Linked DNA regions of Pelodiscus sinensis. The protein of the gene in region 1 purifies or fractionates together with the protein of each later gene. This does not show direct contact. Links are inferred from orthologs where the notes say so. Each region holds a gene or a part of one and is shown on either strand. Other genes may lie near its edges. The genes, in order: RAPGEF2 and MAGI1.

The links.
Region 2: the proteins of RAPGEF2 (region 1) and MAGI1 purify together in Homo sapiens (co-immunoprecipitation; 3 studies listed by BioGRID and IntAct, with this or other methods). This does not show direct contact. The link is inferred for Pelodiscus sinensis from reciprocal best matches to the Homo sapiens genes RAPGEF2 and MAGI1.

Annotation. Positions count from the first base shown.
Region 1 is NC_134715.1:59,793,027-59,808,213, forward strand, and holds the start of RAPGEF2 (rap guanine nucleotide exchange factor 2), read left to right. Parts: upstream 1-9,462; 5' UTR 9,463-10,253; coding exon 10,254-10,322; intron 10,323-15,187. UniProt on the Homo sapiens protein: Functions as a guanine nucleotide exchange factor (GEF), which activates Rap and Ras family of small GTPases by exchanging bound GDP for free GTP in a cAMP-dependent manner.
Region 2 is NC_134721.1:6,034,682-6,049,720, reverse strand, and holds the start of MAGI1 (membrane-associated guanylate kinase, WW and PDZ domain-containing protein 1), read left to right. Parts: upstream 1-6,671; 5' UTR 6,672-6,821; coding exon 6,822-7,125; intron 7,126-15,039. UniProt on the Homo sapiens protein: Plays a role in coupling actin fibers to cell junctions in endothelial cells, via its interaction with AMOTL2 and CDH5. May regulate acid-induced ASIC3 currents by modulating its expression at the cell surface.

The DNA.
Region 1 (15,187 bases):
GCATGAGCCACATAAAATATTCTGTACACTGATCAGTAATTTTAAAGCGACAGGATGACTTACAAATGCTTTTAGAAACTAATACTGCCAAATGCTTGTCTAATTACTGCTGGTGGTACTATAATGAAAACAATTCATGGTGTATTATACTATTCTTCTAAAATCTGCAAAAGAGAACAATGATGGGGAGTCCTATAAAACACCATATTATAAGAGCAGACAGTTAAAACAAAGTTTGTACGCAAAAGTATGGGATTGGTTCCAAGAAATAGTTATATTACAAGCAATACAATAAACAATGGATTTTGTCTGGATAAGAAATGCTGTATCTCGAATAATTAATCAATAATTCTTTGCTGCTGATGAATTTTTCTGTAAACTTAATTTACAGAGCATGTCTTAGAGAAAAAATAAAGATTATAAATTAATTTAAAAATTTAAATTTGGGATGAATTGAAGTCAAAGACTTGTAACTGCAGGCCTATGGAATCATCTTAATTGCATACAATAGGGTGGTGATTTAATTAAAGAATTCTGGTTAAAGACTTTGAACATTAAGCTATTGCTAGAATCCCCAAATTGAAATACGGTAGTATTCTTATAGTGAAGGGACATTTATGGTAAAGGATGCCACACAGATTATTTACTTATTAATATTCCACTCCTCTTTGCAGTAGTGGAATTTTGATCGTCTCTTTTAGTTTGACCACAAACATTTCCGTGTTCTGTTTTTTGTTAGGTATGTTTATGAATCTTTTGGTGTTCACATAAGAAAAAAAAAGTAGCAATTGACTATAGTTCACATTTACTGTTGTCAGTTCTTAAATGACAGAGCCTGATTTAAACACAAACTTCGCCAATTCTCTTACCTTTATTATGAACTCCACTTTGGATTATTAAAAATCCAGAAATGTAATTTACTTTCTACTAAGTATTCTATGGTATTTATTTGTTGGATTATTTGCAGTTCTTTTAGCTTGGATAATGAAAATAGAATAGTAGTTAGTCAGCTAATATGCTGTGATTGCTGCTTATCACTCAGACCTCTATACTTTTCATTATTTCTGTTGTATTTGCCTCTCTCTCATCTTGTACTGAGATTGTAAGCAATTTGGGTCTCGGACATCTTTTTTTTTTTCTTTTTGTCAATTTGTACAGTGCCTATTACAATGGGCCCTGATGGCTGAGTGAGGCCTGTAAGTGCTACTGCAGAACAATAAATAATCATGGAGTATAAAATTAATTTCTAGTCAATTTCCCTTTTTGTTTCTCATGCACCAGGACATCTGGTTTGCAAAAATGGCAACAGAATATTTTGTAACAATTAATATGAAACTTAACTTCTTTTTTAAGAAAAAGAAACAAAGTATTGGTAAAAGCTTAGGTAGTTTTAGAACAACATATATATAGATCACATTCAGGGGCAGTAGTGTGTGGGCTGCAGCCCTCTCCCATCCTGAGTTTAGTATAGAAGATATGCTCCTAGGCAGAGATCTTAATTGCACCAATTGTGGAATGTGAGTTCTGTAGAGCTTGGGGGTGAAAGTAACTTGATTTTCTTATGGTACTGTCATATCACAACCTCCCTCGGGGGCGGGGGAAATTCAGGGTAGGGGAGCTGGTGGGGCTGCAATACGACAGTGCTTGTAAGAAATATAAGTGTGAGATGAAGAGTGGGGGGGCTCAGGGCAGGGAGTTGGGATGTAGGTAGGTGTGGGGGAATGCTGTGTAGGGGGTGGGTTGTGCAGGTGAGTGGGGTATGAGAAGATTCAGGGCAAGAGGCTGTGTTTGAGTGGGTGATGTGCAGGAGTCAGTGCAGGGAGCTGGAGTGTGTGGAGGAGAGTGCAGGAAGAGGGCTTGGGGCTGGCCCAGTTCCAGAGGCAGAGGCGGGGAGGGGAGCCTCAGGGCTGGCCTGGGGCAGTCCGAGTTGCAGCCAGGCTACCTGGCTTGTAGATGAGTCCCTGTCCCATGCTGCACCTGCTCCTTCTATGATAGCTGTGAGCTGACTATATGGGGCACTGTGTCTGTAAACAAATGGGCAGATATGGCTTGAGAAGACCCTCTGGGCTGGCAGTCTGCCACTCACTTCCCCCTCTTCCTAGGAGCTGCAGCAGTGCACGCTGCAGGGATGGCATGTGCATATGTTGCCCAGCATCTGGTCAGCATGATGAGAGTGGGGCAGCAGGACAGGCTGGGACATGGATGTCCCACCAGAAGCCTGACTGAGAGCATGTATGTCTCCACCTACAATGCACCTCTAGCCCTCCCCTTTCATCTGCTACCTGGCTGCCTTCTGCTTAGCATAGTAGGTGGGACCTCCAAAGCCAGCCTGCAGGAGAGCTCCAGGAGCTGGTGGGAGCCTGACTGGGGGCACACTGCATCTTTGCCTGCAGTGGAGCACGCCGCACTGGCCAGCTCCTTATTAGAGCAACACACCCCGGTTTGCTGCCTTACTGTCACTGCTGCTGAAGTCTCAGGGTACATCTACACTAGCCCCCTAGATCAATCTAGGGAGGCTAATGAGGGCGACCGAAATTGCAAATCAAGCCCGGGATTTAAATATCCCGTGCTTGATTTGCATGTTCCCAGCCGGTCGCCATTTTTTAAATTGACTAGCCCAAAGTAACTATCCTCGTCTACACACGACAATGAAATGGGATTCCGATTTAAAGCCCCTAAATCGAATTAGCTGCTAAACCTCATTGCAGGAGGAATACCAGCTAATTTGAGTTAGGGCTTTAAATCGGAATCCCGTTTCACCGCTGCGTGTAGACACAGGCAGTTACTTCGGGCTAGTCAATTTCTAAAATGGAGACCAGCAGGAAACATGCAAATCAAGCGCGGGATATTTAAGCGCTTGATTTGCAATTTTGGTCACCCTCATTAGCCTCCCTAGATCGATCTAGGGGGCTAGTGTAGATGTACCCTCAGAGAAATGGCTTCTTGGCTTTGCTTCAGTCGGAGTCCTTTTTTTCAGCCTAACCTAAAGCATAAAGATAGGCTGATCCACTCAATAGGGAGCTAGCCCTGAGAGACCAACTTCCCAGTCACCATGGACTGCTTGTATGACCTCACATCAGTCCCTTAGGGATAGAGTTTCAAAAGTTTTAAGGCACCCAAAGATGCAGTTAGGCATCCAGTGGAGTTTAGCCTTAGGTACTTTTGAAAATATCATTAGGTGCCTAAATCCCTTTGAAAATCTGGCCTTTATTTGTGTGTCCCTCAGTGCCCCCTCTGTACAATGTGTATAACACAGCACTAGCCAACCTCACTGGGGAGATGTGATGTGAGGCACTCAGGTATTATGGTAATGGAGTCATATAAGTACCACAAAAACAAGGAGTCCTCTGGCACTTTAGAAACTAACATATGTATTAGGGCCTGAGCTTTCATGGGTAAAACCTACTTCATCAGATGAATTGGAGTTGAGTTTACAGAGACCCTGGCTATCTCTTCCCTGGGTTTTGGCTTCTTTTCTCCTATTTCCCTCGTCTCTTCCTCTTTTCTCAATATAACCTTGGCTCTGAGGGCTTAGCTATATTACTTCTCAATCCCCTTCCTTCTCTTTTCAAACCTTCTTCCATCCAGGGATTCCTGTTTTACAGGTTTGGACTTCCTGATCCTTACTTTAATTACTAGACCTTTTATATATTCATCACACATCACAGGTGCCCAGTTTGTAAACAAAACAGACTCCCTGTCCCAGGAAAAAAAATCTGGAGAAGCACTTATTTTCAGAAACCACTGATGCTAGTATAATATATCCAAACCATTCATAGGACATCTGGCAATGAATAAAGATTTCAGTCTATACATGTAGAGCCATGTAGCGGAGCCTGGACAGCCCTCGAGAGAACAATGTCTGCAGTGTTAGGCCTCATTCCAGCCTTGTCCAAAGTATGGATCTCTAACAAACCACCTTAGGTCTGACTCGAGCCTGGGCACACACATATGTATGCATTCAGGCCGGGCCAGAAAGGGTGGGGAAAGTCAGGAGTGCTTGCCCAATTATGCAGAACTGGTACAGGACAGCGAGACCAGGCCAAAAAGAGCAGAAACAACCTGGTACTAGTACATCCCATTTTTAATAAGAGAAAATTTCCAGAGACAGACAGAAAAAGTATTAATGAAGCACTTTTGCAATATTTTGGCATTGTAAAATGTATCCTAGATATTGGCATAATAGGTATTTTATGCAAAATGTAGTTGATTGGTAGATATTACTAGAACGACCAAGTCTCGCTTTGCTATAAATATAGGGGTAGAAGATCTAATCAGTGGGAGGGATTGAATAAGGTGTCCCTACTACCTTACTCATTGCAACAAGAAGATGAACCAGTTCCTATTGCCCGATGCATTGTGGATGCCTCTGCACATGGGAAAAGAAAGAGGCCACGACCTCCTGTCTGACAATCGTAAGGGTAACAGCATTGGAACTGTGTCTGTGTATGTGTGTGTGTGTGTGTGTGATTTACATGAATAAGTATATTCATATTCTTATAATTGAGTAGCTTGTGTACTGTCCTAGGTAAAGGTGTTATTATTACTGTCTGTGCTTACTATCCCATGTATTGAAATAGATCTGTGCAACATTGCACTGCTTTCTTTTACTATTTTGTGCACAGTAAAGTTAACAAGAGTTCATCTGAGGTGTTTTTACTGGCTCCTCTCGTTATCTAAAAACTGAACCACATGACAAGCCATCAGAATGTAAAATCCATCCTTAATCTGTGTCTGCTATCTTTGACATCACACAATGATTGAAATTTAGCAAACACACTTGCCCCTCACTGGGCAAATTTTCAAGGAGTGCATTCTAATAATAAAGCACTGTACATATTAACTTGAGTGTGCTTACGGTCCTTCCTTCCTACTCCACCTAAAGATGATTCATTGTGATTGGTTCACTAGATGATTTGATGGCTATAGTTTAATTTTGTGTTTGGAAGATTTCTGTCTCAGTGTTTCCACAATTGAGAGAGAACATATCTATGCCAGTTACAGCATGCACAAACTAGTGCTGGTGATGGCTGGTAGAAAAGCTCCATAAAACAAGTGGCTTATCCAGCTGAAGAGTCTCTTAGGAAGGGTTGTGCTGGGTCAGTGAGACTCTCCCACCACTAATCTAAAGTAGATCATAAATGTATCTAAAGTTGTAATTAAGGACTAAAGAAAATATACAGTACTTAATTTGGTAAATAAAAGTACACCCAGGGTAATTCATGAGATGCCCTTTTGTATCCTGTCTTCAAATATACCAGCATGTTGTACATCTCCTAAAATAAACTTATTTTGTAGTTTACATAGCTATTTACACAATTTGTATGCAATTACTTATGTATGTAATTTCATACAAGATACATGAAAATGTAGTTCTACATTGACAACCTATTCTGACAGAAATTGTGCATGAGTTCCATGCTGGACTGACTTAAAAAAACAAAACAATCTCTGTAGTTTTAAGTATTTTGTACCTATTTTGCCAGTGAGCATTGTTCGTATTTGAGACTCATATGACTTAACAATCTAACAACATCCATTTCTTTAAATATCTACCTTTAAGCTTTATGACAAGTGCAAAATCTTAAGCGGAACGAAATAGATTCCATGCCATCATGTGTTGAAAGGATAATGTCTGTTTGCATTAGGCCCCATTTATTTTTACCTAGTAAATCCAAATTAAGAAATAATTAGTGTTGGGAGGCGGGGGTGAGGGGGAGGGGAGAGACTGTTTCACTGAAACCAAATACCATTGTGACTCTCAAATACTATAGTAATAGACACCATAAAATAGATCAATCACCAAATTAAAATTCTTAGAGGGACTCAGTCAATATATAATCTTAAAATTAAGAATAACAGTTGTATGGTAAAATAGAGTTGGTAGCTTTCTCTTGATTTGCGGACGTGCATATCATTTCACTTGTAAATTAAACTAGTTTTTCTGCTTGTAACATACAGGATTTAGTGCCCTCAAATGCTTCAAAAACAGATCAATGCTTCATATGCTTGTGTGGCACTTACACTATGGCTTAGTCTACACTGCAGGGGTTTTGCGCAAGAAGCCTTTCATGCAAGAGTTTTTGCGCAAAAACTTCTTGTGGAAAATCACATCCGGACCTCAAAGCGCATTGCAAAAGTGATGTGCTTTTGTGCAAGAGAGCATCCACACTGCATAGACACTCTTGCACAAGAAAGCTCTGAAGGCCATTCAGAGAATGGTCATCAGAGCACCTGTGCTTTTTCCGATAGGCGTCCATGCCCGCCTTTATGTGCAAGAGCTGTAGTGCAAAAAGGAGTTATTCCTTGTGGGGAGAGGAATAACTCTACCGCCAAAAGCCCTCTGTTCTGTCAATTTTCTTGCGCAAAAATGCACTTGAGGTGTGGACGCTCTGCCGGTGTTTGCGCAAACCTTGTAGTATAAACATAGCCTGTGTGTGTATTTCAAGAGAATCACAGGCACCCTGGCTTGGTGATAGGTTTCTCAGAAGAGAAACTGGCACTTTCACACAGTTGCAGCTTCCCTTATTAATTGGAAGGAATAATACATTCTTTCTGGTTTTTTTGAGTGGAGGGAGGGGGAGAGCTGAGGCACATTTAAAACTGATATTTTTAGGGAATAGGGAATTGATTTCGGTCCTGTCAATTTAAACAACATCCTGTCTTTTCAAACAACTAACTCCTGTGCATTGAAAATCAAGATGATGAGATATGGAACTTCCTCCATTTACTCCAACACTTTACACAGAATTCTCTGCACTGGCCACACAAGCATTTCATTAAGATCAGACCCTGCTAATTTGTATACTTTTGCAGCTTTTTCTATTGAGGAAGACCCAGTGCTTTTTTTGTGATGGTACTGCCTGGTACGCAGTACTGGCACCTCCAGATGCAGTACCAGCACTTCCAGTCAGAGCTCAACAACTTTTCTTCTGGAGTGCTGGCACTTTTTTTTTAAAACAAAAAAAGCACTGTGAAGACCTATATGGAGAAACTGACTAGATTTAGTAAATTTCACACAGCTACTCCACAGACTCCTTAAGCAGTCAGCTAGCTCTTCCTAAACTAGCCTGTAAATTACTAGTTCACTTAAGCCTTCAAATTTAGGTTTTGTTTAAAAAAATATTTTTCATATGCTTAAATTTCAATAAATTAGAAATAAACATCCTGTAATGTTTGCACCTTAAAAGATGTACTCTTGTGCTATTATTTGAAAAGCTATCATTTAAAATTTTTTAAACCTTTATAATGTTAACAGTGTTTACATAACATAGCACGGTAGTATTTGGAAAAGCAAATCCACTGAACAGTTCTACATTGCTGAAAGTATTATGTATAATTAACAAGTATTATTTGTTAAGCAGCTGTGGTATGCTCAATGTTATGGGAAACACAAATAACGTTGGTCTTTGCTGCAAGGAACTCATAGTTTAAATGAAGTCAGGCTCCTATATGAGAAAATTCGCTAGGAGACTCAAAAAAAGTAAATTAAAACATCTTGTTTTTCTTTCTCTGTTCTCTTATATAACATGACACAAACGGGACATTTGGCTGATGTTGATTAGCATAGAGACAAGTGACAAGAGTGGACTTGCCAAAGAAATTACAACCAAATTTTAAAACATATTTAGGCACCAAATTCCAGTTGAAATCAATCAGGAGTCAAGTGCTTAAAAGTCCCCTCTGAGCCTAGGTTTTTGCTGGTCAGCATTCACAGAGCCTCCTGAAGTCTTGATGCCAACCCTTTACTCCCATCACCCTGCCCCAGATCTAGCTAATAAATAGTCCAGTGTTCTAGCTAAAGCTGAAACCTAGGCAGGGGAATGCCTATTCTGCCAATAGGGGACAATCCTTTAGGTGTGCTCTGTGCATGCCTAAAACTGGTTAGACCTGAAGCAAACAGCCGGGACACAGACCACAAATACTGCACACCACCTATCCAAACCGCCAATAGCTTGGGTAAATGTAGTGCAAGTGTAAGACACAGCACAAGGCAGATTTGGTTGCTAGAGCATAAGCTACTTAAGCGGCTGACTGAGCTTTGGAGGTTTATTATAGATGAAGATTCCAAGCAGAGGAAGGTGCCTACCTCTGGCTTGTCAGCCAGGACACTGTTTAAACACCTAAACATGGCATTTCATTCCTGGATAGTTTAGGAAATTCCCTAGTCAACTTGTTTAGCTTCTGAAGATCCCTTCCTTACATGAACAACTCTTGTATGGGGAGCCATGCTGGTAGTCGGGGGCTGAGAATTCCATTTGTTAGGTGCAGCAACACTTAAATACCACTGAAGACATGGGGTAAAGTTATTGTGGAGTGTGGAAAGCCATGAGTTGGTTTAGATTATATTTGGCTCCAGTTGAAGACATTTGTCCATTTGTTAGCAGAGTTTGCAGTTGGGGGATCTTATTAGATCCCTAACTGCTTTTAGATGATGAAGGCAGCAGCAGCATGTGCCTCTTATTAGAAGGTAAAACCTTTCCCTTTGGACCTGGCTAATATAACCCATGCAGTAAATCTTGTTATACAATAGCTTGGCAATATACTGGAAGAGTTCCTGCACTGGTGTGTGAATAGTCACAGATTGAAACCTCTGGCAGTTCTCTTGAATAAGTAATCAAAATTCTTTCATCCTTAAGCTTTTAATCATTAGGATGCCTTTCTGAGAGATGTAATGTATTCTCTATCAGTATAAGTCTTTACATCAGGACTGGATGTCTTTCTAAACAATATTCTGTCCTCAGAAAGTATGGCTTGATGCAGCTATTTGTGGATGAAATTCTAAATCCTGTTAAGTGTAAAACAGATTATCATAATAGCCTCTCCCAGGTTTGACAATCTATCATTTTGCCAGGGCTAGAACAGATTATTGCAATGTCTTCCACATCCAGACACAGTTTAAATCCATCTGTCTATGAACTGAGTATGGTATAGAGTCTGGCAACCTGTCTTGTGCACTGCCCTGTCTGCAATTGCTGCACTCACAGCTCCCATTTGGCTGGGAACTGGAGCAGCTTGTGGCAGGATCACTATGACGGGACTGTCCCAACCCTTAACTCCCCTCCCCCCCCTGCTCTCTACACCGCCAATCCCCTGCTCTGAATCCCTCCTGCTCCCCAATCTCGTGCACTGACTCCTGCCCCTCCAAGTCCCAACCAACTGCCCTACTCCCGCACCCTCTGTACATTGTAGGCTTTCCTTTGCTACTCCCCAAAATGACTTAAAAAGGCTATTAGGAAAGAAACTGTATTAATAACACAAAGTCAGATTTATTGCTTTAATCACATATTTTACGTTCACTAGCAACAAAATGCTCCCCTTCAGTTTTCACTTCTTGCAGGGGGTCTGCTCTAGCCTATATGGGAGTACCTGGAAGACATTTACAGCACAAACCCCTGTTCTCACCCCATGGGAACTGGACTCCTCTCCTTGGGAGAGTGGTGGCTGCCGGTAGGGGCACTGGGCTTTGAAGCCTGCCCCCATATGGGTACCTAGCGAGGCTACCCAGCCTCCTGGTCTGAGAGTGGTAGCAGAGCTGGGTGGGTCAGGGGCTGGCAGGCCCGCCCGGGGCCCGAGAGCGGTGCGCTGACCCGAACCCCGACACCCCTCTTGGGATCAAACAGCAGGCGACGCTCCGCGGGGGAAGAGGTGTCGGCCGGGCCGCGGGGCGGGAGCTGGGCGCGGCCCCTCCCCGAGCGCTGCAGCCGCCGCTGGCCGCTCCCCGCCGGTGCGGCGGGCTCCTCACCATGGTTGCAGCAGCACAAAGCCGCCAGCGCCGGAGGCCGCTCCCCCCGTGACAGCCCGGCCCCGCCCGCGCCGCGCCCGCCAGCTCCCCGCGCCCGCCGGGAGCGCAGCCCCGCAGCCCGGATGGGAGGCGCCGGCGGGGATGCAGCCGCAGCAGCCGCGGAGCGGGACGGCGGAGCCCAGTAGAGCCGGAGTCGGGAGCCGCCGCCAGGCGCCAGGACCCCGGGAGCTCCCGGGCCGCCCCTCCCGCTGCCGGCCGGGCTTGCCCGGGCGGCGGCGCTGCTGAGTCCCGGCGCTTCACCCCCAGCGGCCGCGAACCCGGAGCCGCGAGAGGCCGCGCCCGCCAGCCGGGCAGCGCCAGGGAGCGGAGCCCGCCGGGACCAGCCCGGCTCCCCCGCCGCGCGCCTCGGGCCGGGGCTCGGCGCCGCTTCCCAGCCCAGCCCGCACCCAGCAGGGGCCGCCGCGGGGCCGGGCAGGCGGCGGCGGGGCCGGGGCAGAGACGGAACGAGATGGCGTCGTACGTGGATAACAGCTTCCGCCAGGCGGTGATGAAGAACCCGACGGAGAGGAGCCCCCAGGTACCCCCCTGTGTCCCTCTAACGGCGCCAGAGGGGCCCGTGACCCTCCCTTCGCTCTCCCCCGTAGTGTCCCCTTAGGGAGCCCTCCCCGCCCTCGAGATCTGCTGGGGACTTACCCCTTGCAGCGCCCTCCTCTTAGCTCTCGGCCCCCCGCTGCCCCGGGGAGCTCCTACAGCCTTTGTTGTTTCTTTTCCCTTTCAAGAGGAGCCTAACCTCGGGCACCGACCCCCATTTTTCTTCCTGGATAGGAGCCCCAGGGTACAGGCAGGCATCACCTGATCTGTGCCCCCGGGGTGCTGCACACGGGGCAACAGGTACCTATTTCCTTATGCCCTTCCACGTTGCATAGTGCAGTTTTTTCATCTTCCACCCACTCCCACATAATGAATCCTCCCTTCCCCAACATTCCCCGTAGCTACTGCTTGTTTATCTCTTGTTTGTCTCACACACACATCATAAACATTTCCTCTGCTTCGAGTACTCCTTGATCTGTACATACGTATGTCAGCTAATCTGTTTTCAGACCTCTCTAATCCCCTTTCCCACTCACGGGATGGAGGAACTCCTTATTCATTCACAGCCAGCAGTAGTTTTAAGATTTCTCTTCCCACTCCTCTCTCGCAGTACTGTTGTTACTTTTGGGGGGCTCACATTCCCTTAGTCGGTCTGTTCATTCCCTTTATCTTTGTCTAAAATTGGGCAGAGAACCCCTGTGTGGTCAGACAGCAACAGAGGAGAAGGGGGGAGGACATCTCTTTGACTGTGAGTTGCATAAATCCTGAAAGCTGACTCTATGGGAAACCCAGATTTAGTAACTGCTGCTGTCTTTCCTCTCTGTTTTGCATAGTGTGTTTTAAAAGAAGATACTATGGTGTTAATAGAAACTTTGAACACTATAGTTTGTATAGGAGTGCAACATACTCACTGTTACACAAACTTAACTCACCCAAAATATTGATGTATAGGATGCTAGTTCATGGAAAGAGAAGAAATGTTAAACTGAGAGCATGTGTCTATTCTTAATATATAACAAGTAGTTTAATTCTGGAATTGAATTCACTGCGTACATATATAGCGCATACAACATTACTGGCCCATCCGTTTATAAGAGAGGTGAATGTTGTATTTTTGGCAAATCTTTGCTTCCTTAAAATAGGGAGAAATTCTTGCAGAAATAGAAATGCTTTCATAGTAACATGGGAGAAGGTTTTTTTAAATGCTGTATTTGAATCTGTCTTCACTTGGGGGCCCACTTATATGTGGTATGTGTGGGATAAATAACAATTTTACTTATATACTCCTGTAGGATTTTTAGCGCATGGGGCTTTGTAAACATTAGAGACAGAAGGGAGGAAAATGTGTAAAATTATTTTGACTTGTTTTTTGAGTCTCCGTAAGGTGAGTGAATTCTTACTGCTTTGGAGTGGTGACTGGATGTGCTACTGCTGCCAACTGTCTAAAGACAAATAAGCTTTATGCTGATCCCTGAGTCAAGCTGTAGTTCAATAGCTAATGATTCAAGGAGTTACTTTGCTCATTAGTTGCAGTGCCATCTGTCCTGTTTTCTAAAGATTTGTCCTATTTCTCTAAGAACTTAGTATATGCTGATCTTAGAGAGGGGTTTTATTTTTTATTACCATGGTTACTGATGATTTTGCCAGATTTTTGATTGGCTGTTGACATTTTAAATTGTGGTTGAGGAAAGAACTTTGACTTTTGGGGCAGCATCCAGAATTCCTTCTTTAGATAAGTCATTGTGGATTCAGTTTTACATCCTTGAGCTTGTGACAACGTCAGATCACGTTGAAAAGTATGGTGTAAATGTGTTAGAAAAGATAGTCCTGATTTTATGAAAATACATTATTCTTTTCTACATCTCATTCTAGAACAAATTCCTTTTATTATAGTGAAGTTAAAGTTGTGTTTGTGTGTCCTTGCTTGACCTTTTCAAATGTTTATTATAGTACTTGCCTTGAATCTTGGCACCAGTATGAAAGCCTACAGGCATCAGAGTAGCACAACTAGTGACTGAAAAGTTAGATTTGGAAACCGAATGCTGTTATTTCAGAAGGATACTACTTGTTAATATGTAGTAAGATCTCTTTTTCTGGGAGAAGCTTAAATTCCAGTAATGGGAGTCAAAGAGATTTGGGAGAACATTATAAAAAGACTGTCAGTTGGTCAGCAGCAGAGATAATGGCAGTTGCTCAGAAATCAGTCAGGTAGTGGAGCCTCCAAACCAGCCTGTGAGAAGACAAAACGTCCACTGTGACAGTTGTATATCTGTGCCAAATAAAGTGAACTGTTAAACTTTCCAGTGTCCCTGCCAATCAGTTTTTTTAAGAAGAATTGATGCAGTGAAGAAACTAACCTGAATGCAAAGGGATAGAGCCAATGCGAAGAACACAGTATAGAAAGCTAAATCCAGAACACTAGGATTGTTTTAGCACTACAAAATTTAAAATATCCAAAAGCCTGCTGTAGTAGTCTACAGAGAAAGAAACCCTAAATCCTTTAGGGTTTGACTGGCCAAAACAGTCAACAAGACAGACTAGATCTATGGGAAACATGCTTTGTTGGCAGTGCTGGACGTCTTCAAGGTTGGTGATCAAATGTGACTCTTCCTACTTCTGGGGAGAAGACTTGATGAAGGAAAATTCATTTATACTTTTTAGAGTGTTTAAGTATTTTTATTTTCACCTGTGCTTTTTCTGAATTGAGTGGCTTAAGTTTTTAATTTTAAAAAAGAATTTAATTTTTCTTTCCTATCTGAGAAGGAATTACTTCATTTTAATCTTAAGGCATACTGTATGGTGGTGAGTAAGCTTCTTTCTTGATTACTTTGTAGTTTAAAATCAGTATTTTTATCAAGCCATAAAGGCCAGGGGCTATTGTTGTGCTTAAAAAAGTAATTTTAGCTATCTTTGATTTTGCTGCTGGCCTTCCCTAAAAATAAGCCAGATTTTTATTAGAAAGGTAGTTATTTAAGTTTGTGTTGAAGAATCTTCACATATTAAGTCGTATAGTTGTGGCTGTTATGAAAAAGGGTTACATTTTTTATATTGACAGAAATGTGCATGTAAGAGAATGTGCATAGGCAAGGAAGCATCTGTTGGTCATGTTTCTTTGTTCTTTTCAATGCTTATTGAATGCTGTGTTTTAGCAAGTGCTTTATCTATACATGCCCAGCTACTCCTCTCTATTTGTGATGTCTGTAATTCTGCATTTGATGTTAGTGTTTTGCCCTCAATTGTGATGATGTAAGTTTAGGGTAATGACTTCATTGTGAGTCAAAATGAGAATAGAGGACTGACTGCAGGATAGCAAGCCCGTGTTTGAACACACAGCTTTGCAAACTATTACATTAGATTATGAAGGGAGGGGGGTCAATGAGATTTTGTTAGAACTTTTTTCCTGTTCAGAAACCCTTTTCTAATTAGGACAGCTTTTAAAAGGTCCTGTTAGAGCATTGCTTCAGAAATTATTGCAGAAAAATCTTTATTGTGGGAATGTGTCCAGGTTTACACTGGATATTCAAAGCCTACCTGAGCTATTCTAGTCAATGGAGTGTTGTATTCTACTTCACAAAATTCAGAAAATAATATAATCTAAAATGTATATGACCAATTGTTTTACATTATTAATTGCATCTCTTGTATAGCAGAACTCTTCTCTTACGTAATTGCTTTATTAAGCTAATCATATTGTTTTTCTTTGAAGGATCAAATAGAAAGTTTGATCGTCAAATATTAAACTTCTAAATGTTAATGAATTCCGATCATATTTATGCCCCCAAGCTTTATGTAATATAGTGGGTTTTCTTAAAAATGCCTTTTAATATATTTGTGGCTTCAAGCTAGGGATGTAATAGTGTAGTCAATTAACCCATGAGCAAAAGCTTAGAGGTTAATGCTATAGACTACATGCTTGCCCCCCTTCTCCTCGCCAGTAATTTTTTTAGCAGGCTGGCCAGAAGCCCGGCTCAGTCCTGGCTTGTGCTGGGTCCGGGACCTGCCTCCGCTGTGGCTGTGCATTGAAAGTGTATTAGGGGCCAGGTGGGCCAGCAGCCTGGCTCAGTTCGGGCTTGCGCTGGGTCCGGGAGCTCAGATACCTCCCCTCTCCTGACCAAAGCAGCAGCGCATGGTGGCAGCAGCCTCTGTATCAGAGGCAGCAGCATGGGGACAGGCAGCCGGTTCGCAAGGGGAGCTTGTTTTTAAACTGATTCCCCTTGCAGACCAGCTCCAACCTGGCACCCCACAGAGGCAGCAGCGCAGAATGGCAGGGATTCCTCGGGAGTGGAGCTGGAACGCACTGAGAAGCGGCGTTAGTAATACGTTTCATGTTGAAAGGGGAGGACTATCTAATTACCCAGTTGACGTCTGCCAATGACATCTGTTAATGTCCGAGTACCTCAAGACAGGATGCTTCTATCTGGCAGATATCTGCCAAATATTTGAGAGAAACAATCGTTTAATTATAGGAGGTACTTATATTTATTTCAGTTAATTTTTCAGTTTGTTCTCCAGTAGCATTGTTTTTGGAATACAGCATTGTTTTATCTGGTGACCGATGAAAGAGTTTAATTGTATGAGAACTCATTAATAGGGACAGACATGAACATTCACTTCTTGATCTAGCATTATGTTGCTGAATCATTCCAAATAAGTGTCAAGCTATTTGTAGTGCTTCATGGTCATAGAAAACAAGTGTTTCAAGGGAAACTGTATAGGGTGCTTGATTAAAATACAGATCTTTTATCCATCTTACAAATGCATTTAAAGATTAGTTCCTTTTTTTAAAAGAACTTTTTATTTTTCTATCTACTTTTTGTATTTGTCATTGCTTGAACAACAATATGTGAGTAA
Region 2 (15,039 bases), on another chromosome or scaffold:
GTGTCACCAGCTTTCAGGTCAAACACAGAGCAGCAGCGGATCTTTGTAATAAAAATTCCAAATTAGAAAAGGCAGGGAGAGAGTTTAAAGAGAGAGAAATGGACACACACAATAGTCCTGGATAAAAATTCCTATGTGGTTATTTGAGCTTCTTTTTGGAAATTTGCTGACATTATCAGCTGCCCTTCTGAATGTTTCTACTCACCCGTTCCCACAGGTGTTGTACATCCCAAAGTTTGGTCTGTACCCCCCAGTCCTTGGGGGAGAATGAATATGGGCATTGAAAGGCCAAGGATTTTATTTCCTGGCCTTTCCACAGTCCTGCTGTGGGCAAGTTGTTTGGCTTTTCTTCTACCCTTTATCTGTCTGGTCTATTTCAATTATCATGCTATTGAGGTACAAACTATTTCTTATTTATGTCTGGACATTACCTAGCCAAAAGGGGGCCCTCACCTCCACATGGGATTTTAGGCACGACTGTAATAGAAACAACAATGGCCCAACGTGCATTTTACCCCTCTTACACAGCGGCCATACTTTTTTATTTGGGGAAAAGCGCAGAGGTGGGGAGACTGGAGACAATACCCTTTACACACATCAGCTACTACCTCCTGCATAATGATACTAGAACACAAACTTCACATTGAAGCAGAGCATCAAGTTCATTGGGTCAGTGAAACAAGCGTGGGGGCAAAAATAGTGCTCAGCCACCACTGATAGGGCATGACTGTCAAACTTCTGTCTGTAACTTTCAGAACACTGGTTCCCACGTTCCTCCTTGTATTCTAACTTTACAGGTCACCTTGGTATACAGATAACCAGAGAGATGAAGTGTGAGGGAAGATAGCGAGAGATGGGGGGGGGGGGCAAAGTCTGACAGACTGTGACCTAACACCTTACAGCAGGCTGTTCAGGGAGCAAAGAAGGGCTTACTTGTTTCAACCCCAGAATTCCGATCCGCAGCTGTGTTCTGGGTGCGGTGTGTTCATCGTCTTCATTTAGGAACCAAATCCAGCATTTCTTGCTATTCAGACTCCATTCATGGGTAAAACTGCTTGGATGGCTGAGGCAGAGCTTGTTGTAGCTCAGAAACTTTAGTGGTCCCTGTGACGTAGTGGGGGTACCTGGCTGGTTTCTATGCTGCTGGCTCTGGGGTAACCCCCACTGGCTGCTGTGGGTACCACGACCCAGCAAAACAGGATGAGTCACTATGCAAACCAGTATGGCCAGACACCCCCCATGGAGAGGAACAAAGGAAGGTGGAATGCTGCCCTGGCTGGGGGGCAGGGCTGGAAGAGGGTTAGTTAGTTGCTGGCTGTCTGGGAGCATGGAGGAGACAGGCTAGGGAAAGGGGCTGGAGTTTAGGGGCCCAGTCTCCCCCATCTCAAGGGGGCCTGAGGCATCCTAGCCCAGCTCTGTGACCAGATTACATCTGTGCTGTGCTGTATCCTGGAGAGGCAATAAACTTCCTCTATTCCACCGGCTGGTGCAGTCTGTTCATGCCATTTCGGGGTGCAGGAGACGGGGGACCCCCAACGCGCCGTCACAGTCCCATATACTAAATATTTGAGTTTCTTTTTGTCCTCCTAAATGGTAAGAATTAGGACTGCCAGATTTGGGGTGCAGCTTCTTCTTAACAGAACTGAAAGCAAGGTTAGGGTTTGGCTGTGCCAGAACAATGGGATGTGTGGTAAGTGGAACTGTTTTTCTGAGAAGCATACAGAAAAGAGACAGAACTACCAGGCAGGTGAAAGGAATTGGATGAGGGAGCCGCACACTGGTCCTGAACTGCCCCAGCTCAGAGCCTTCCACCCCAAGCACCCTATAGGGAAGGCAGCAGGGACTGAGGTCTCCCTACCCCCCAATTTGTATGGGTTCATTGCTAACTGTTCCCTTTCCTCATGGCGCAAGGGGAAAGTGCAGAGTTTGCTGTATTCCTCACTCTGACTGGGGCATGCACGGGGCTTGGACCTGCCCCAGCAAGGGGGCCATGCATCCCCACCCCAGCTGTGCCCACTGGAACGGCAGCAATCACAGCAAGGAACTTTTCACCTGGCCCCAAGCTGCTGTGGTGAGAGAGGGCTGGGGTAATCCTCTTCCCCAGAGCAGCCTGCAGACTGAACCCTTCGTCCCCATCCCCACCCTATAGCAATGATTCAAATGGAGCATGGACATTTTCATTTTTTTTTTTCCAAAAAATAAAAGCTGAGTTAAGGACCCCAGCAACACCATGTAAATATTCCAGTAAAATATATTCTCATCCGCTGCACAGCTCTGACTTCAAATTGGGCTTTCAGCTTGAGGGAGGAAAGAGCTTTTCTGGCAAGAGATAACTCCCCTTTTTGTTTCCCATGCAAGTTTCATCCTGGGTCAGTTAATGATGTTTTGGAGTTGCTTGCAGAGCTTTGGCCTATCCTTAGTGGGAAAAATGTGGTAGGGAGATGATGGTGTGGGATTATCAACTCCTTTGTGGGGAAGGGCTGGGTGCAGGCTTCTCTTCAGGAATTGGTTCAAGATGCCATTTTTCATAATCTCTTAAACAATAAAGTACACTGAAAACCCTGGGTCAACAGAATATTAAGAGTGCAGAGTCAGAAATGCCAGAATTAAGGATGCCTGTGCATATTTATTTTGGTCTCCCTGCTTGAGTGCCTTACAGAATAGTTTTTAAGGACATGACTATGTTGTGTATTTTTTTCCTGTAAGACCCTTGCCTTATTTAGTGCCAGCCTCCAAGAAACCTTTACCTTGCAAGTGTAAACTGAGCTTCAGAGCCTCCAATGTAGTCAAAATTTGATGCACTTTCTCTAAGGCAGTAAAAGGCACAACCCTCAAACTAGAGCAAAAATCTTACTAAACTTCAGCTGCATCGCACAGACACATCTTCTCAATAAAACAGTTGTGAGAATGGGAAAGTTCAAAACATTTTAATTTTTTCCTAACTCATTTTGTGAAATGGTGGAGCTGTTTTCTGCTGAAACTAACTCAGCCAGAGGCACACACCCAACCTGGAAAACTTCAGCCTGAATAGTTAAAGTTGGAAAAGTTATAAGTAACTCAAAACAGGGACTTATAATGGAAAGAGTTAGGCAACCTTACTACAAGCTCCACCTTTTGTAACTAATGAAGGAAACTATGAACTAGCTGCAGTTTGAGCAACCCAGAAAGAGAAGGATTTGGACCAGCTGTAGAAAAGATAGACATTGTCAAGCACCCAAAAGAGAGTTGCTCTTGTTTCTCCCTCTGCCAGGTGGCCAGGAGGTAGACAAACTATAGAGCTCCTCACACCACAGTAACCCCCCGTATTCCTTGCAGCTTCTCAGTTCCCAGCCTACCATTCCAGACTCTTTTTGCTTTGGGAAGTAACATCACCATGAACTCTATAATCACTGCACCCTCAAGTGAGGGCTTCATGCCTGCATTTCTGATGTTTTTCTGCCTCCCTTTCCACCCCATACACAAGCAACAGCTCTCACAAACTCTCCCCTCCCAACAGTAATTCACTTCCCAGCATCTCTGTCCAGGCACCAGCAGCTTGGACAGGATCTTTTCCCTCCCCCCACTTCATCCCAGAAAAAGTACCAGGCAAACTTTTCTCTCCATCTCTTCCTCCCCCCCCCCCCCCCGCCATTGCTTCTTCTCCCTCTGCTCCCAGCTCATCACCATCCCCACTCTCCATCCATTCCCAAGGATCCTTGTTCCTGCTACCTCAGCCCCCAACCCTGCTCCCAGCTCACCTCATTTCCTCCTTTCACCCCAGCCTGGCTCCTTCCCCTGTCTCAGCCCCTCCCAACCCCCAGCCTCCATCACTCAGTGTAGCTCCTTGCCCCTGGACTTCAGCTTCCACTTCACACCTCTGCTAGTCTGCCTCCTGCTCCCCTCCCCCCCAAATCCAGCTCCTTGCCCTTTACTCTCCCGTCACTGTCCTCCAACCCAGCTCCCTCCCATCATCCACCCCCAAATCTGCTCCTTATCCCTACTTCTCCTCCCCCCTTTACTCCCCACCCAGGTCCCCCTTTTATCCCAGCTCCCTTTCACTCCCACCACCCTTTGCTCCTCACCCCAACTCCCACCCCGTTTCCCCATCCTCTTCCCCCTTTGCTTCCCATCCCAATACCCCCTTCTCCCCCAACTCCCTGCCCCCTTTGCTCCCCACCCCAATTTCTCCTTCCCCCATCCTCTTCCCTCTTTGCTTCCCATCCCAACTCCCCTTCTCCCTCCCCAACTCTCTGCCCCCTTTGCTTCCCATTCCAACTCCCCCTTTCACACCCAACTCTCCCTTCCGGCCCACCTCCCCATCCCAACTCCCCCTTCCCCTCCTTTGCTCCCCACCCCAACTCCATCCCAACTCTCCCTTCCCCCACCCTCTTCCCCTTTGCTCCCCACCCCAGCAGCCCCTTCTCCCCCAACTCCCTGCCCCCTTTGCTTCCCACCCCAACAGCCCCTTCTCCCTCCAACTCCCTGCCCCCTTTGCTTCCCACCCCAACAGCCCCTTCTCCCTCCAACTCCCTGCCCCCTTTGCTCCCCACCCCAACAGCCCCTTCTCCCCCCAACTCCCTGCCCCCTTTGCTCCCCACCCCAACAGCCCCTTCTCCCCCAACTACCTGCCCCCTTTGCTCCCCACCCCAACTCCCTGCCCCCTTTGCTCCCCACCCCAACAGCCACTTCTCCCCCAACTCCCTGCCCCCTTTGCTCCCCACCCCAACTCCCTGCCCCCTTTGCTCCCCACCCCAACAGCCACTTCTCCCCCCAACTCCCTGCCCCCTTTGCTCCCCACCCCAACAGCCCCTTCTCCCCCAACTCCCTGCCCCTTTTGCTCCCCACCCCAACTCCCTCCCCCCTTTGCTCCCCATCCCAGCTCCCTCTTCTCCCCCCAACTCCCTGCCCCCTTTGCTCCCCACCCCAACAGCCCCTTCTCCCCCAACTCCCTGCCCCCTTTGCTCCCCACCCCAACTCCCTCCCCCCTTTGCTCCCCATCCCAGCTCCCCCTTCTCCCCGCAACTCCCTGCCCCCTTTGCTCCCCATCCCAGCTCCCCCTTCTTCCCCCAACTCCCTGCCCCCTTTGCTCCCCGCCCCAACTCCCTGCCCCCTTTGCTCCCCACCCCAACAGCCCCTTCTCCCCCAACTCCCTGCCCCCTTTGCTCCCCACCCCAACTCCCTCCCCCCTTTGCTCCCCATCCCAGCTCCCCCTTCTCCCCCCAACTCCCTGCCCCCTTTGCTCCCCACCCCAACAGCCCCTTCTCCCCCAACTACCTGCCCCCTTTGCTCCCCACCCCAACAGCCACTTCTCCCCCCAACTCCCTGCCCCCTTTGCTCCCCACCCCAGCAGCCCCTTCTCCCCCAACTCCCTGCCCCCTTTGCTTCCCACCCCAACAGCCCCTTCTCCCTCCAACTCCCTGCCCCCTTTGCTTCCCACCCCAACAGCCCCTTCTCCCTCCAACTCCCTGCCCCCTTTGCTCCCCACCCCAACAGCCCCTTCTCCCCCCAACTCCCTGCCCCCTTTGCTCCCCACCCCAACAGCCCCTTCTCCCCCAACTACCTGCCCCCTTTGCTCCCCACCCCAACTCCCTGCCCCCTTTGCTCCCCACCCCAACAGCCACTTCTCCCCCAACTCCCTGCCCCCTTTGCTCCCCACCCCAACTCCCTGCCCCCTTTGCTCCCCACCCCAACAGCCACTTCTCCCCCCAACTCCCTGCCCCCTTTGCTCCCCACCCCAACAGCCCCTTCTCCCCCAACTCCCTGCCCCTTTTGCTCCCCACCCCAACTCCCTCCCCCCTTTGCTCCCCATCCCAGCTCCCTCTTCTCCCCCCAACTCCCTGCCCCCTTTGCTCCCCACCCCAACAGCCCCTTCTCCCCCAACTCCCTGCCCCCTTTGCTCCCCACCCCAACTCCCTCCCCCCTTTGCTCCCCATCCCAGCTCCCCCTTCTCCCCGCAACTCCCTGCCCCCTTTGCTCCCCATCCCAGCTCCCCCTTCTTCCCCCAACTCCCTGCCCCCTTTGCTCCCCGCCCCAACTCCCTGCCCCCTTTGCTCCCCACCCCAACAGCCCCTTCTCCCCCAACTCCCTGCCCCCTTTGCTCCCCACCCCAACTCCCTCCCCCCTTTGCTCCCCATCCCAGCTCCCCCTTCTCCCCCCAACTCCCTGCCCCCTTTGCTCCCCACCCCAACAGCCCCTTCTCCCCCAACTACCTGCCCCCTTTGCTCCCCACCCCAACAGCCACTTCTCCCCCCAACTCCCTGCCCCCTTTGCTCCCCACCCCAACAGCCACTTCTCCCCCCAACTCCCTGCCCCCTTTGCTCCCCACCCCAACAGCCCCTTCTCCCCCAACTCCCTGCCCCTTTTGCTCCCCACCCCAACTCCCTCCCCCCTTTGCTCCCCATCCCAGCTCCCTCTTCTCCCCCCAACTCCCTGCCCCCTTTGCTCCCCACCCCAACAGCCCCTTCTCCCCCAACTCCCTGCCCCCTTTGCTCCCCACCCCAACTCCCTCCCCCCTTTGCTCCCCATCCCAGCTCCCCCTTCTCCCCCCAACTGCCTGCCCCCTTTCAGCCCCCCCGCCTCTGCCCCCCAACTCAGTTCCTCCCCAGCCGGGCGGGCAGCCGCGGCTCGGGCCGGCGGGGCGGGGCGGGGAGCGGAGCGCGCTCGCAGGGCGCCTGCGCGGCGGTGCCGGGGGCTGCCGGCTGGCACGGGACGGGCTGCGCTGGACCCAGCCCGGCGGCGGCGGCGGCTCCGGAGCGGCTTAAAGGGGCCGCGCGCGCAGGGGGCCGGGCGGGGCGGGATGGCCTGAGCGGCCCGGGCTCGCCCGCCACCTGCTCCCGGGCGCCATGGCCCGCGCCCTGCAGCGCAAGAGCCACTGGAGCGGGCGGCTGCACCAGTGCGCGGCCAGCCGGGCGGCGGGCGGGCGGCCGGGGCTGCCCCTGCTGGGGGGCGCGGAGCACGGCCAGTTCCCCTACGTGGGGGCGCCGGAGGAGGGCGGCGAGCCGGTGCTGGCGGCGGGCGGCGAGCTGAGCCCCGGCGAGCTGCTGCTGGAGGTGCAGGGGGTGCGCGTGTCCGGCTTGCCCCGCTACGACGTGCTGGAGCTGCTGCGCGGCGGCCCCGAGCCCATCGCCCTCGCCGCCGTCAGACCAGGTGCGGGGCTCGCGGGGGGGACCTCGGGCCGAACTTCGGGGCTCGCCGCCGCCTGCCACCTGCCCGCCGGGCAGCCTCGGCGGCGGCTCCTGCCAGGCGGGGGTGGCTCCGCGCAGCCCGGCGCTCCGAGCGCGCAGCCACTCAGGGATGGAGGCAAAGCGAGACTTTTTGGGGGGGAGTTGGTAGAGAAGTTGGGGGGAGAGTTGGCATTGAAGGGGGGGCGAGAGGAGAGTTGGGGGGATTTGGTAAAGAAGTTGTGGGGGGGGTTGGCTGGGGGTGGGGGAGAGAGTTGGGGGGATTTCGTAGAGAAGTTGTGGGGGGGGGTTGGCAGCGAAGTGGGGGTGGGGGAGAGAGTTGGGGGGATTTCGTAGAGAAGTTGTGGGGGGGGTTGGCAGCGAAGTGGGGGTGGGGGAGAGAGTTGGGGGGATTTGGTAGAGAAGTTGTGAGGGGGTTGGCAGCGAAGTTGGGGGCGAGAGGAGAGAGTTGGGGGGATTTGGTAGAGAAGTTGTGGGGGGGGTTGGCTGGGGGATGAGGGAGAGAGTTGGGGGGATTTCGTAGAGAAGTTGTGGGGGGGGTTGGCAGCGAAATGGGGGTGGGGAGAGAGTTGGGGGGATTTGGTAGAGAAGTTGTGGGGGGGTTGGCAAAGAAGTAGGGAGTGGGGGAGAGAATTGGGGGGATTTGGTAGAGAAGTTGGGGGGGTTGGCAGCGAAGGGGGGAGGAGAGAGAGTTGGCAGCGAAGTTGGGAGGCGGGGGGGAGAATTGGCAGCAAAGTTGTGTTCGCTTCTCCTTTTGCTCCGGCGTCCCTGCCATGGGGGGGCCACAGCGGCTCCCCGCTTCCTTACCCCATGGGGAGTCTCCGAGGGGGTAGCAGGGTGTGTGTGTAACTTGGAAAAACCCGGTGTGGCGCCTTAGAGGCGAACACCCCCATGGTACCGTGAGTTTTCCCGGGCCAAGCCCGCTTCCTCAGACTCGTGTGTATCCCAGGGCGTGGGTTTGGCCCACGGAAGCTCTTGATCTTGTGAGCGGCTCAGGTGCTACAAGGCCACTCGCTGGTTGGTGGTGTGCCGCAGGGCTCAACTAGACTAGCCGGGAGCAGTTGGTTGGTGTGGTTGGCTTTTTTGTTTCTTTTTAAAGCACACAAAGGGTTCATTTCTATCGGTCATCTGGGATCACTGAATGACCTTTGAAACACCTTGTTCGCAAAGCATTATTAAGTGGGGGTCACTTGGATTCCCCTGTGCCAACAGAACCCTGTTGTCATGGGGAAACTTGACTCTTTTGTTTTATTTCCTTCCAGTCTGGCCTGCCTTAAGCACAAGGAGCAAACCCCTGAAGACAAAAAACAGGACTATGTAGCACTTTAAAGACTAACAAGATGGTTTATTAGGTGATGAGCTTTCCTGGGCCAGACCCACTTCCTCAGTCTTTTTCTAAGTGTACCAAAAACCTCTAGCTACAGGCGGTTCTGGAGGCTTAGTCCTTGTGGAGTGAAATGCTTGCATCTGATAGCTAACTCTATTAGTGAACAAAGCAAATATTTCATTTCACTGGACCTGGAGGCATTTCCTGAAAGATTTTACTCCTACAACAGGGATGCGTCTCTTACAGCTGGAGCATTTGGTTGCACTGCTGGATTATGACTAAAGTCTTGTTAAAAAGCATAGGCATGTGATTGCCAGCTGCCTGCCTTAGCCTTGTCAAAGGGTTGGCACAGTGTGTGCATGGGAAAAGATGTAACTACAGTATCCTGCACCAGGAGGGTTATTTTAATCTTGCTTTCTCTTTTAGTGGTTGGGATTGTAGGAGATAAGTATCTCAACTGAGACTCTAGAAAGCAACAGCAAAAAGCCTTCCCTACTGAAAAGACACTTTACTTTTTGCAGGTTAGCACAACAGGTCTAGATAACAGGTTTGTAGTTTCCAGTGTGGGACTTGAATTTAGTACCAGGAAACTATTCCTGTTCCAGCAGCTGTTATTTGAAAACCCAGGATCTTTGAAACACTGTAAATAGGATTATATTGGAACACCTGTAAATTTGCATGGTGGCCTAAAAAAGCACACCAGGTCATCTATAAATGGAGGCAGGAAGGGATGCTTTGTTAGGATAATTCAGGAGATTCTTTAGAGGAAAGTGTATTACTGCACAAACGTGCACATCCCAAACTACAGGGATTTGCAGTGGTTGGCTAATGCTGCAGTGTTTTCTGTAGTTGATTTGCAGGCAACAACCTACTGACTTGGCTCAGAAGAGAATTAATCTCTGTCTTTGTTGTTTGGCTGTTGCCTTTCATGTAAATCAGCAGAGCTCTCCTCTGAACTTCTGTCCATTAGCCCTATTAAAAGCTAATGCTGTAGGTTCCATGCACTTGTTCTGTGGACGTTATCAGAGGAGTAGTGTTCTGTCCCATCATGTGATATGTTATGTAACAATGTGTAATCTTGAGTTGTCATTGTAATATATGTCCGTTTCCTTTTTAAAATGGAATGTGAGTTCAGAATTCCCCCCCCCCCATTACATAAAGAAATATCAGTGTAAAGACTAACTTTATCAAACCTAAAATCAGTAGAAGTGTCCACCTTCCCCGCCTCCCTTTTTTACCTGCAGTGGGAACATCTGGTGCCCCCCACCCTGTATTTGCAATGCAAATGCTGAAGCACTGGAAATAGGGATGTAAAATTTTCTGTAAATTGTTAATCGGTTAAGCTGTAGGTTTAAGCTATGAACCGCCTACCGAGCTGTGGGTGGGTTTGGGGTGTTGGAGCAGGTCCCTCCGCCCATGGTGGGGTGGGCCGCCCTGCCGGTCTGGAGCAGCCCCTTAGGCGGGGGGTGGGGGACTGCTCCTGCCCAGCTGAGCACTGGTTATCCCAGTAAGCATGCCTGTAAGGCAGGGATGGCCAACCAGTTAGACATGAAGAGCCAAAGGAGCTGTGGATAGTAGTGCAAAGAGCCACACATCCCTCCCCCAGTTTCCCCCACTCTAACCCAATGCCCTCCTCCAGACCCAGGCATCCACAGGCCCCTCCCATTTCAACCCAATGCCTGAGTCTCACCGGAGCTGCCCCAGCCACGCACGTCTTCCTCCAGGAACTGGAGCACATGCACAAAGCGGGCATGCGGCTCTGAACGAGCCATAACCCGGAAAGCCGCATTTCTGTGAGCAAAGAGCCACGTGTGGCTCAAGAGCCACAGGTTGGCCACCCCTGCTGTAAGGCATTGCTTACCGTTAAACATTTACATCCCTACCTGGAAGTGAAATTGACCATGAACAAAGTGAAATTGGTTTTCTTTGTTCAGACTGAGTGAAATGCATACAGTAAGCAAACATAAAAAAGTGCAAATAGGGTTTTAAGGGCTGTTTGTTTAAGCACTCTTTTGATAATGATAATAATTTGAGATTTTCACAGTAGTGCAGAATTATGAGTTTTAGCTTGTGCTTTTTTAAAAAACGTATTTAAACGTAAATGGTTGCAGGAAAGTACGGGATGTGTCAGGCATGGAAGGTTGTCAGATGTTGAGGTGCAAGAAATTAAACCTTTATAATCATGAGAACTCAAATAATCAACATGTCAAAAATATACAAAGTAAATATTCTTAATTCAAATGCCAGTAAGTTCTCAAGCAGCATTTTTTTTGCCATTCTGTAAATTTCTGTTACAGAAATATAATTTTGTTGATTTGTAGATGTATGCATGGTGAAATGGACATTGACCAATTTGACTGATTCAGACTTAGCCTATTTAAAATGCATGACTTCTATGTCCATTTCCAGTAGCAGTTCCCCTTTTTAATATATCTTGAACTGATCATATTCGGCAAGGGTTGCAAGTTACTCAAACATGCTACAAAGTACAGTGTTAAGTGAATGAGTGTAAACACATTTTAACTGTCTGATTCCATTTCCCCTACATCTCCCCAGTCCTTAGTGCCTGCCTGACTGGTGAAGTTTTGTGACAAACTGAACCTGGAAACTTACATGCTTTATTGGCTTGTCGCTTTGTATGACATTTACAAGGCTGGGAAAACAGGAAGATTACTATAAATAAGCCAGTCATCTGCAGGCTTGAACAGAAAAAACAATGGATTTGATTGTTGGTTAACACAAACACCCAAACAAAAAACAACTTTGAAATGAAGTTTTTATAGGTTATACACACTCCTCACCATTAAAGCTAAGTTTTATAGGATTAACAATTCAAAATGCAAACTTTTTATTTAACACTTTCTTTTCCTTAGACTATTCAGTTTGAATGGGCACTTGCCATACTGTAGTGATGAAGGGGGAGGAGGCACATAAGAAAACAGCTACTTTTATTAACCCTTATAAACAGTTACTCCAAGTAACTGGTCATATGGGAGGTGTGTGCTTTAATTTCTCTTATGCTTTGAACATGGAATAAGTGAACAGATCTGCCCCATAGATACTTTTGTATTTTTTTTAAAAGTGTAATGTTATAATCTCTTTTTGTTTGGGAGAAAAAGTGCTTCTGAAATTTGACTTAGTACCTTTCAGTGCTGTTAGAGCGAGGCCACTTAAGGGTAAAAGTGAAAAATGAAAACAATGGAAAAGATTTTACGTCTGAGGTGTAGTGTTTTTAAAATTACCCACTATTCTTTCCTTTTTGTTGCTTCAGTTTCAAACAAATAAGTGATTAAGCTGTATTCAAATTAATAAATATAGTTGTATGTACCACTGCATTTGGTCTAAAACTGCAAAACTGGTATTCTTTCTCCTGAGGAAGAAAACTCACTAAGAAAATGCTTGTTTTTGTCACCAACAGAAGTTGGTACAGTAAAAGACATTATTTCACCCACTTTCTTTATCGTTCTCCCGTTAATATGTTTGATAGTGTAAGACTTGTATTAGTGTAATATCTTGATTTCCGTTCTCCGTGCTTAACTTTGTAGCATTCTGCAATAAACTTAAAAATTCCAGGCTAAATCCATTGGATAAAGAGACAATCCTTAACAGAACGTTCTTTTTAATTTCTCTCTCTGGTTGCTGCTTATATATCCTGATTGAGATGACCTGTTCTGTTTGTGCCAGGCTTTGAACATGTTGTTCCTGACAACAGACAAGTTAACTTCTCCACAGCAGACCAGTTGTGTGCCTTTCATTTAATACAGGATGTCTTTTTGTTCTTTGTTTCCTCACGACACATGGAGTTTGAGGGATATTTCAAGATTAGTCAGTTTTTTTAACTCTTTGATTAGATGCATATGTCAAATTGTACAAGTCATCCTTGTCACTGTAAGCTCAAAGGTTGGTGAAGAAAACTGTCTTTTTTTAAAATTAAGTACTACCAGCTGAAGTTATGGTACTTGAGGATCAGTTTACATGAGTGATTTTTTTTTTTTTTGGTTACTCTGAAGTTAGTAGGAAAGGAGAGGGGGAGGGGATTTTTAAAAAGTTAAGTACAAGGTAAACAAAGGCAGACATTCATTCCCAAATGGTGGTCGCTATCTGCTGTCATGTATGTTTGGTTCATTTAAAACCTTATCTTGAGCCTGAGAGAGATTCTAAAACATGATTAGTTGACACTACATTTCTATGGTGTGCTGACATTAATTACAATTGAGCAGCCATGAGGTGTTGGACTTCATTAATGTCACTAAACCAGCCCCTTTAAAAGTTACTTGCATGGGCACATATTCTGACATCATTTTCCCAGGAGGGGCCTGTGAGGGATGTGGTGTCTTCCAATTATTTTTTTGTATAAATATCGATTAATATAAAAAATACCGATGCCTTTATGCAGGCTGTCAGGTTAATAGGTAACATTAAACATATGATATGCGGATTACAGAACCTCTGGCTGGTGCTAAAACCAGACAAAATATGGTCACTGAATCATAGCTCTGAAATACAAAAGCAGGGTGCAAATTTTTATATTGGACTTCCATTTACCTGTTTCAGGTAAATGCAAATGTTATAAAACTCTTGCTGCTTTTAAGAATTTACTTCCTTGATCTGTCACATGATCTCTCTTGGGTTCTGATAGAGGGTTTATTGTGTTTTTTTTTTTTTTTTTTGTTGCAACACATCAACAAAACATCAAACAAAAACACATTGATAATTCCCTGTGCATTTCCAGTTTGACCTCCATCCTTAGGTAATAGAATCTGAAGTATGGCTCATGTAAATTTATACTAATCAAACATTTCTTACTGATATTTTTAAAGTCTGCTTCTATTTTGGACTTGTAATATAAATGGCAAATATAATCTAATAGCGCCCACAATGTGCTAGCTGCTCTCCAAGCATAAAATAAGTGACGCTTTAGTGCCTGGCCCTGTGTTGATCAGAAATCTTGTGCATGTAATATATTGGTGCTCTTACCGCCCTCGAAACGTAGACTGCTGTGAATTAAAATATCATTGCAGTCAAGATCAGGTTTTTATCCCAATCAAGTTTACACACTGTAAGCATTTGTTAGGATTTTAGAATGTGAAAATTGACTCGGCTTGTGGCAAAATGGTTAGCTATGCACCCATGCGCATACCTTTATGTCCTCTGCTATGAAGAGGGGGTTAACATCCCAGAGTTATGCAGCCATAGTCTTAATTTAACACCTCAGCCATTATTAGCATTTTACAGAGTTAATGCAAGCCTTTCATGTGATAACATTGGATTATTTTTCACAATAAGTTTAATCTTTCAGCACATTATGTGATGCGAACTCCAGGCTTTCTCTCGTTATGGGACATCCTATTGCAGTATATTTACACTCTAATTACAGGATAATTACAAGCAATGTTTCAAAACTATTGCAATTATAAGATATTAACACAGTTTGTCTGGGTTTGTTGGACTGAATTTTTACTTTATAGCACAAGTGCTCCATCTCTGAGTTGCTAATCTGCTAAATGTGAAACATGACATTGACCTGCATCAACTCTTTAATAACTTGAGGGACTGCATTCAGAAGTGTGATAACCAAAATGTGAGTGTCTCATTGGTAAAGGAAATAAAATGAAGGAATAGATGTGACTAGGTTGCTAATCTTGCCACACTTGAAGTTGCAACTGGTTTTCTATTCTCAGACCTGCTTCGACCACATCCATATGCACGTCTCCACTGAGTTCCTCCCAAAAAAGGTCCTTAAAGCACATCTACCAGATTTGTAGCACTTCTGCTGATGGATACAATGTTGGCCAAATTTTAAAGTGTCTGCCAAGCCATTCCCAAGATGGGGCACTCAGAATGAACTTTGAGAAGTACTTTGTTCTTTTTTGGATGGTAGATTAGGTCTCGGTGATAATGTACCGTGTATTTTATGACTGAGGCGTGAATAGATCTTGTGCATAGGATTAGCTTCGTTTTGGCAACTTTTGGGCCTGCATCAATTTCCGGCAGATTTCACAAACTATTTTAGACTTCAGCCCAGCAAACTTGGAAGGTTGTTGGCTGGCCAAAAACATGCTTGTACCCGAACAACTCTTTCACCGTCCCTGTGCAAGCTGCTAGCTGTGAGCTGGCAGGAAGTGCCTGGGCTTGAAAACCGATACTAAGAGAGGAGCTCATTGGACAGTGTAGTACAGTGGGCGGAGCAGAACACTGGAATCAGGATCCACTTAGGTCCAACTCAGTAACACTGAGGATATATCTGCACTGAAATAAAACACCCATGGCCAATGTTCCCTCTAGTCTTTTCTATCCAGGTGCAGATTTTTTTCCATCCCTGTGTGAAATAAAACTTTTGATGGGCACCGAGGCATGGGCACTTGTGCACCGCCAGTAGAAACAAAACCTCGCTGTGGGCGCGCTGCTCATCGACAGAGCGGCATCTCAATCTCTTCTGAGCAACCGCACGAGCACACAGCTGCTTAGCTGACGTGTATGTGCTTGGTCCGGATGCTGCGAGGTGAGAAGGTGAACATCTACAATGCCTTAACAGCTCCTAAGCCTGAGCCC